Macaca fascicularis: one gene and its partner. The protein of the gene in region 1 purifies or fractionates together with the protein of each later gene. This does not show direct contact. Links are inferred from orthologs where the notes say so. Each region holds a gene or a part of one and is shown in the gene's direction. Other genes may lie near its edges.

Region 1 (4,539 bases):
GGGATTTTATAAAATAGTACCCTTTGCCGTATCAACCCTAGAGCAAGGGTGAACTGACATTCCATTCTTTCAGAGAGAAATGCTGTTATTTCCTCCTGTCCCTCCATTCCTCTTTGCAAACGTGGTCACTCCTTTGATAATTCACGACCCATCTCCACCATTAAGAGTCTGAAATCCTAGTCAAGGAATAACTGGGGTGGTGGGGGAGAGAGGGAGAGGAGTCTAAAATTCTAGTCAAGAAATAACTGGGGTGGTGAGGGAGAGAGGGGGGCGGGGGGGGAGAGAGAGAGAGAGAGAGAAAGGGGGAGAGAGAGAGAGAGAGAGAGACTTCAGGAGGTTGCACTTACACTCTGGCAGTTTTTCCAGAAATTAGGGAGGCAGCAGCTCTTACTTTTGTGATGTCAACTTGTAGACTGAAATGCATCAAAGCTCCTCACCTTCTTCTTGTTGACGCGAGGGATGTGAAATGCGCTCTAGAATATGCATTCAGCGTGGTCCTTTGTTCTAGGTATGAGCTTTTCTTTTTCTAAAGTTTTTCGGTCTCGCTCAAGGAAAGGAAAGCAATATTTTGAGATTCTTTTAAAGGCACCTTCCAAAGCATTTCCCACAGAAAAATACCTCACAGCCCAACACTGGTTATTTCAGTAAGAATCGAGTCCAATCTTTTCCAATATGGCTGTATACATTGCAGGCCCCCAAATTTGTGCTTTCGTAGTCATCGTTAATCAAATAGGCAGAAACACTGTATTTAGGGAACCTGTGTTTCGTGGGCTAGAAGTGCATTCTGATTAATAAAGATCATGTTCATTTTGAATTCATCGTGGTTATTCGTGTGCCTTAGAGTCGCGGGCTTCGTCAGGGGTGGAGCGGGCTCGGAAGTGCCTGCAGCGCGGTGGGAAGCGGGTCTGAGCGCCCGGGTCATCAACCCGCTTTCAAGGGGTGCCGACACTTTTTCCCAAGAAGCTCGACCAGCCGCCGTGAGCGACTGGAAAGAATAAACCAGACTGTGACAGGAACAGAGAATGTATGTGATTGACAGGGAATACCAGGGCACCCGACTCCGTCCCGGGTCACCATGGCTCTGGGATTTGCACGAGTTTACCACCACCATTAACAGCTATTTGCGTAAGGTTGTTTACCGCCTGAGAGCGCCACAAGCCGACAGCGAAGCCACTTTGGGACCCCAGCCACGCCCCCTCTCCCCTCTCACCCCTCCCTCCCGCCAAACTAATGAATTCGGGACTGCCTTCTTGCCGGACCCTCCCATTGGCTCCTATTCCAGCCAATCAGAGCCTTGCAACAGTTTCACCTGGCTCCCGCTTCCCAAATAAACAAACAAACCGTCCGGCGACTGTGCGGGCTCTGCACCCCGGCGCCGCCGGCACTGCTTGCGCTCCGCGCCCCCCCCACCACCTCCCACCAATGGGGCCCCGACTGTGGCGCCCTCTCCCAGCCCTGATAGCCGGCCGCTTTCTCCTCTGCCCCTCCAGGCCTTCTCCCGCCCGCTCATGCCTTCCTCGACTCCCGGGTAGAATCTGCTTGGCCAGAGAGCCCCGCCTCCTCCTCTTAGTCCTCTCTTGGCCCACAGGCCTGGAGATTCACCGGGAGGGTGTTGGCACAGCTGGAGGTGGCTCCGCCTCCCAAGCCCGCCGCCTCCTCCCTTGCACACCTCTACTGGTGGCCGCTCGCGCCCCTCCATTGCGCCGGTAGCAGGATCCGCAGCGGCCGCCGCGTGAGGCTTCGGTCACGTGTTGTTTTGCCCGCTGTCGTGCGCTTAGAGTGGAGTGGGCGGGGGCGCGGGCCAAGGCAGGAGGGGGCTGGGGCGGGCAAACGGGGGTAGACAGCCTCTTCCCTCAACCCTCCCTTTCCTGAATTCCCCCTCCTCCTCGCTCACCTTAAAACCATCGTGCATCACCATGGCGAGTTGCTCCTTCACTCGCGACCAAGCGACAAGAAGACTAAGAGGTGCAGCAGCGGCAGCAGCGGCAGCTCTAGCAGCAGTGGTGACCACCCCGCTTCTTTCCTCGGGAACCCCGACCGCACTCATTGGGACCGGGTCGTCTTGTCCGGGAGCCATGTGGCTCTCCACGGCCACTGGCTCCCGGTCAGACTCCGAGTCCGACGAGGAGGACCTCCCCGTCGGGGAGGAAGTCTGCAAACGCGGCTACCTGCGGAAACAGAAGCATGGGCACAGGCGCTACTTCGTGCTCAAACTCGAGACTGCTGACGCCCCAGCTCGCCTGGAATACTACGAAAATGCCAGGAAGTTCCGGCACAGTGTCCGCGCCGCGGCGGCTGCAGCAGCGGCGGCCGCCTCTGGCGCCGCGATCCCCCGGCTCATTCCACCGCGACGCGTGATCATCCTATACCAGTGCTTTTCCGTGAGCCAGAGAGCAGATGCAAGGTACCGACACCTCATTGCCCTTTTCACCCAGGACGAGTACTTCGCGATGGTGGCCGAGAACGAGTCGGAGCAGGAAAGCTGGTACTTGCTGCTCAGCCGCCTCATCCTCGAGAGCAAGCGCCGCCGCTGCGGCACGCTCCGCGCGCAGCCGGACGGAGAGCCGGCCGCGCTGGCGGCGGCAGCGGCAGCGGAGCCACCCTTCTATAAAGATGTGTGGCAGGTAATAGTCAAACCCAGGGGGCTGGGGCACAGAAAAGAGCTGAGCGGCGTGTTCCGGCTGTGTCTAACCGACGAGGAGGTTGTGTTTGTGAGACTGAACACCGAAGTGGCCAGCGTGGTCGTCCAGCTCCTGAGCATCCGTCGCTGTGGACACTCGGAGCAGTATTTCTTCTTGGAAGTAGGCAGGTCCACCGTCATCGGTCCGGGAGAGCTCTGGATGCAGGTCGATGACTGTGTGGTTGCCCAAAACATGCATGAGCTGTTTTTGGAGAAGATGAGAGCCTTGTGTGCAGACGAATACAGAGCCCGCTGCCGCAGCTACAGCATCAGCATCGGCGCCCACCTGTTAACCCTGCTGTCCGCTAGGAGGCACCTGGGCTTGCTGCCGCTCGAGCCGGGAGGCTGGCTCAGAAGGTCCCGCTTTGAGCAGTGTTGCCACCTCAGGGCCATCGGCGACGGGGAAGACGAGATGCTTTTCACCAGGCGTTTCCTAACACCCAGCGAGCCTGTGCCCCACTCCAGGCGAGGAAGACTGCACCTGCCCAGAGGGCGCAGGTCAAGGAGAGCGAGTTCAGTGCCGGCCAGCTTTTTTCACCGCTTAGCACCCAGCCCAGCACGTCCCCCGCACCCTGCAGAAGCCCCGAACAATGGAGCTTGCCTGTCTTCTGAAGTGTCTGGCTCTGGCTCTGGCAACTCTGGGGAGGAAGGCAATCCCCAGGGCAAAGAAGATCAGGAAGGAAGCGGAGGCGACTACATGCCCATGAACAATTGGGGCTCAGGAAATGGCCGGGGCTCAGGAGGTGGCCAGGGCTCAAGTGGCCAAGGCTCCAGTAGCCATAGCTCGGGAGGAAACCAGTGTTCAGGCGAGGGACAGGGATCCCGAAGTGGTCAGGGCTCAAGTGGTGGCCAGGGCTCAAATGGCCAGGGCTCAGGAGGAAACCAGTGCTCTGGAGATGGCCACAGCACCGCAGGTGGGCAAGGTTCAGGTGGTGGCCAGAGACCTGGAGGTGGGCATGGCTCAGGTGGTGGCAAGAACTCTGGAGGGGGCAAAGGCTCAGGAAGTGGGAAAGGATCCGATGCTGATGGTGAACGTGGAAAATCTCTGAAGAAAAGATCCTATTTTGGCAAATTAACTCAAAGCAAGCAACAGCACATGCCACCACCTCCACCACCTCCTCCTCCGCCCCCACCAGCTGGAGCAACTGGTGGAAAAGGGAAGTCTGGGGGAAGATTCCGACTTTATTTTTGTGCTGACAGAGGAGCCACAAAAGAGCGCAAAGAAGCCAAAGAAGTGAAAGATGCAGAGATCCCAGAAGGTGCAGCTCGAGGTCCCCACAGAGCCAGAGCTTTTGATGAAGATGAGGATGACCCATACGTGCCAATGAGGCCAGGGGTGGCTGCCCCTCTTGTAAGCTCCAGTGATTATATGCCAATGGCTCCTCAAAATGTCTCTGCTTCAAAAAAGCGCCACTCTCGATCCCCTTTTGAAGATTCAGGAGGGTACATGATGATGTTTCCCAGAGTGAGCCCACCACCTGCTCCCAGTCCTCCAAAAGCACCTGATACTAATAAAGAGGATGACTCAAAGGACAATGACAGTGAGAGTGACTACATGTTTATGGCTCCCGGAGCCGGTGCAATTCCAAAAAACCCCAGAAATCCTCAGGGTGGCTCTTCCTCCAAAAGTTGGAGCTCCTACTTCTCTCTACCAAACCCTTTTCAGAGCTCACCTTTGGGACAGAGTGACAACAGTGAGTATGTGCCAATGTTACCTGGAAAGTTCCTGGGGAGGGGCCTAGACAAAGAAGTCTCCTATAACTGGGGCCCCAAAGATGCAGCTTCAAAGCCTTCAGGTGAGGGATCATTCTCAAAGCCTGGAGATGGGGGATCACCTTCAAAGCCTTGGGATGATGGGT
Region 2 (4,499 bases), on another chromosome or scaffold:
CACGCCCTGCTCAGCCTGCCAGCCTGGCAGGAATGAATGGGCTCCGCAGAGTGCTGTGTGAGTAGTTGCTGCCCACCCTGAAAATCTGCCGCTGAAAACCAAAAGGAAAAATTATTTGTAAAAAATAAATTTCCAACTTTAGTGGCCAAACTTACTTACCTCTGAAATTTCATCACCAACATCCAGTGGTACGAAATCCAGTGACTCACTCTGCATAGCCCATCGTTGCTGAGAATGGAGCCTTTCTAAATAGCAAGACAATGTTACTCCAATTTATTTCCTAGGGGTGAAAGCAAAGCCTTTTTGTCCCAAGGGGCAACTGAGCAACCACCAGAGTCTCTAGTTGAATAGCAAGGGTGTGAGGCTGGCTAAAATTCCCACAGTCAGAAGCCCACTCGCAGGAGGATATTTACCAAATTGACATAAGAACTGCATAAAAAGGAAATGCAGTTATTGAGCTGATGTTTCACAGTTGTCTGTAGATGGAGGCAACATTGCAAAATAGTCTTCTTTTTACATTATATTATTCTCTTCTTCTTTTTAATTTGGTGTCTTGGTTATTACTATTATTTTGCTTGTTACTTTCCAGACAAAAGTCCAGTGCAGATATGTAACTGCACACATGTAGTACTAACTTCTGAGCTCAATTATTTCTCCTTGTATTTTCCCAATTTTATATCAGGAAAGATGATTCATTCCAAAGGACAATGCACCACACAAAATGTGTTACATAGACTTCTCATAAAGGAATACCTCTAGTAAACTATTATAACTACTCTACGTGCACTTGCTGTTGATTATTGCCATGTTAGAACTATTTGTTCGCTTCTTTATTTAGTATGGTTATTATTTCCATCTTCCAGTTTTATTTAGCTATTCGAGTGTGCATGTGCCTGCAAAAGAAGCTCTGAAAATAAGTTAGTTGAACCTGAGAAACCATTTTGAATGACTGTATGACTAAATCTTTTTTTTAAATTAAAAAAAATCACAATTACCCAGACCGTTTTGAGCATTACGCCCATTTTCTCTCCCACTTTATTTTTAAAGCAATTAGAGATATTGAACCCTAACAAAATGTAGTCGAGTTTAATATACTGCGAGGGAGGGGCTGGCAGTAATTTTCCTTTAAATATTTAATCTGAACATAAATCTGTTATTAAGGGTAGGGGGAAAAAACCTCACATAGATAATTTTAACTGTATTTTGAGGTTTAAGCAACATAAAGTCTTCCAACCCCAGTCCCCTTTCTTCTTCCGCCCCTCCCCGACCCCACCCCATAATGGATGCTCGGCAGAATGCTTCTGCACGGTCTCTTTGTCTAAAGGATGCAAACAGTCTACGGATGCTAGAGAAAAAGGGGTGGGGGAGAGATTACCTCATCCCACGTCGTTTGCACCAATCACCAGTCTCCTGTCCTGGCTTCTCTGGGCAGATTGGGGGTCTGGACCAACAGGAACAGGCCCCGGCCCATCCCCATGGTGACCGAGTTGTATATATGGAGCCGCATCCGCCCATGTGCCGCAGGTTCTCTTACATCGACCGCCTAAGAGTCGCGCTGTAAGAAGCAACAACCTTCTCCTCCTTGTCTCCGCCATCTGCTCTGCAGTCGCGAAGCAGCAACCATGGTGAGAATCGGCTTTGGCTCTTTGTGGCCGTTGGGTGGAGTCAGCGCCCCCAGGCTCTGCTTGGAAAATCTTTAAGCTCTTTTCTTTCGTAAGCTCTCTGGGCGAGGGTGGTGGTGTGTTTTGTGAGGTTTAGCTTTACCCCAAATCCTCCAGCTCCGCCGCCGCCGCAGTGCGGGTGCAGGAACCCGGCCAGGACTGCGCCCAGGGCGCTGCAGAGCGCTGGGGAGGAACAAAGGCGGCGCCTGGGCGCCTGTGTTGTCCTACAGCCTTTCGGGGTCGCGGGCAGCCCGTCTGCCGCGACCGAGGGGTCTCGGGCGTCCCGGCTGGGTCCAGTGTCTGTGCGCACGGTTTCGCAGACGCCGAGGGGCCCCTTTCTGTCTCGCCTCGTTCTCTGGGGACCGGGAGAGGAGGAGGCACCCAAAAAGAGCGGGGGCGTTGGGCGAGCTGGGGGATGTGGGAGGGGGAACGGGAACAAAGCGCAGCCTGGGGTTAGCGTGGGAAGACCCCTCGCGGTCGTTGGCGTTTTGGAAAGATAACCACACATTCCCGGGGAAACATGGTGAGTTTCTACTGGAGCCCCGGGCAGCGGGTGTCAGGGCGGCGCAGGGGCGGGGTTGTTTGTTTCTGGCTTCTATGGCGTTGGAGCCACTGGGCGGGGTTCGCCCTCACTAAACCTCCTCTGTCAGGAGCTGACTTAAAAAAAACTTTTCATCATTGCGGAACTGTAGGCTCCAAAAGGGTTTTCTTCGCTATTATAATTAAGATGACCTTTTTTTTTCTCTTGAGCAAAATCACAATTCACTTGACAAACTCTTTAATGTCTGGTCTGGGGACGCCCTGCCCTGACCGACTGAAGTGTGTGTGTGTGTGTGTGTGTGTGTGTGTGTGTGCGTGCGTGCTGCTCGTTCAGCGAGGGAGAAAGCCTACTTTGTGAGCCCCAGGGTACCCTGATGGTCGTGTGTGTGTGTGTGTGTGTGTGTGTGTGTGCGCGCGCGCTGCTCGTTCAGCGAGGGAGAAAGCCCACTTTGTGAGCCCCAGGGTACCCTGATGGTCAGGACCAGGGAAACGCCCTTCCCCGCCGCCCCCCTCCGCCCCGCCCCCACCACATCAGCGAATAGACAATGAAAGTGGTAGCCCTAAAGACCACAGAGAAGAAAACCTCTATTGGATGCAAAGAATATGAATATTATGTGGTGGGTAGAGAATCTCAGGATTAAAATACTATTTTGTTGTTTTAAATAAATATTTCACTATCGTTCCACTGGGCTTTTATTCTTTGTTTGCTACCTTTTCATGTGATGCTTGTTTCTAACTTAGGAAGGTGTGTGTGTGTGTGTGTGTGTGTGTGTGTGTGTGTGTGTGTGTGTGAAGATACGGATAATTTTTCAGCTTTTACAGTGGAGAAGATCTGGAAAAACCTTTTTCTTTAAAAAAAGGAATGAAATTGCTACAGACAAAGAAGAATTATACTCCCCATCCCGTTGTCTTTTGTTCTAGTGCATCTTCATTAATTCATTTCAATTCAGGCACATGGTCCCGGGCGGGGTCAGAGGAGGAAAACTGGCAAAACAGCACAATGAGATCATGTAGGCAGTTGCTGGAAATAGAGCTTGCTCTGTTAAATAATGTAGCAGACAGTACAGGCTAGCACCAGGCACAGCAAATACAGCAATGCAGCAATGCAGAAGGCAGAAGCAGACCTTGTCTAAACCCCTTGTATTGATGGATTCTGCAGACAGACTGCAGAAGGGTGTGGCTTCTTGCCTCAGCTGCAGTACAGATGTCCATGTTATAATATCAAGTCAGTCCTATTCAGAAGAAACTTTCTTCTTTATTTAAAAGGGAAGAAAGCAGTAAAATTAATCCCAATTATGTCATAATTGAATTTACTTCATTTTACAAAATTTGTGCTTTGAATACTGAATACTTTTTAAATATGAAAAGTCTTCTATTCAAGCATGGTAGTAGGCACAATGGGCTGGTACCATGTGCTGAACAGGGCCAAGGCGACATCATTATTCAGACCACACCCATATGCAGCATTTGCAGCAGGTCATTTTCCTTAATCTTTGTATCGTGCTAGGGATGTGACCTCAAATAATTTTGAAAAATATCTGTATATTATTAGAAATATTTTTAAAAGTTTACTAAGAGTTTGAAATGCTAATACGCCTTAATTTTACAATTGTTTCACTTTTCCTTCCCACAGCGTGAGTGCATCTCCATCCATGTTGGCCAGGCTGGTGTCCAGATTGGCAATGCCTGCTGGGAGCTCTACTGCCTGGAACACGGCATCCAGCCCGATGGTCAGATGCCAAGTGACAAGACCATTGGGGGAGGAGATGATTCCTTCAACACCTTCTTCAGTGAGACGGGCGCTGGCAAGCATGTGCCCCGGGCCGTGTTTGTAGACTTGGAACCCACGGTCATTGGTGAGTTGACCTCAGTAACCCAAGTGAGATCCCAGGATGCTGGGACAGGAGGTCTGTCCTGGGGGGCTCCGCTAGTCACCCACTCACCCACTCCCTCCATCCTTCTCTCCCTCCTTCTCCAGATGAAGTTCGCACTGGCACCTACCGCCAGCTCTTCCACCCTGAGCAGCTCATCACAGGCAAGGAAGATGCTGCCAATAACTATGCCCGAGGGCACTACACCATTGGCAAGGAGATCATTGACCTTGTGTTGGACCGAATTCGTAAGCTGGTATGTTTCTTTTCAAGAATAAAGTAAATTAATGAGCCTAAAGAACACATTTGAAATACTGCTTTTTTTTTTTTTCAAACAGAATTGAACTGTTATTTTAATAAAGAGTGGAATGAGTCGTTCTTGTGGGGTTTTTATCAGTTAAAATGAACTATTTGGTATCATTTTGTA

Evidence for each region.
Region 2: the proteins of IRS4 (region 1) and tubulin alpha-1A chain purify together in Homo sapiens (affinity purification with mass spectrometry; 3 studies listed by BioGRID and IntAct, with this or other methods). This does not show direct contact. The link is inferred for Macaca fascicularis from reciprocal best matches to the Homo sapiens genes IRS4 and TUBA1A.

What each region holds. Positions count from the first base shown.
Region 1 is NC_088395.1:115,335,262-115,339,800, reverse strand, and holds the start of IRS4 (insulin receptor substrate 4), read left to right. Parts: upstream 1-1,697; 5' UTR 1,698-1,916; coding exon 1,917-4,539. UniProt on the Homo sapiens protein: Acts as an interface between multiple growth factor receptors possessing tyrosine kinase activity, such as insulin receptor, IGF1R and FGFR1, and a complex network of intracellular signaling molecules containing SH2 domains.
Region 2 is NC_088385.1:56,001,564-56,006,062, reverse strand, and holds the start of tubulin alpha-1A chain, read left to right. Parts: upstream 1-1,520; 5' UTR 1,521-1,622; coding exon 1,623-1,625; exon of another isoform or gene 1,626-2,181; coding exon of another isoform or gene 2,182-2,184; intron 2,185-3,834; coding exon 3,835-4,057; intron 4,058-4,179; coding exon 4,180-4,328; intron 4,329-4,499. UniProt on the Homo sapiens protein: Tubulin is the major constituent of microtubules, a cylinder consisting of laterally associated linear protofilaments composed of alpha- and beta-tubulin heterodimers.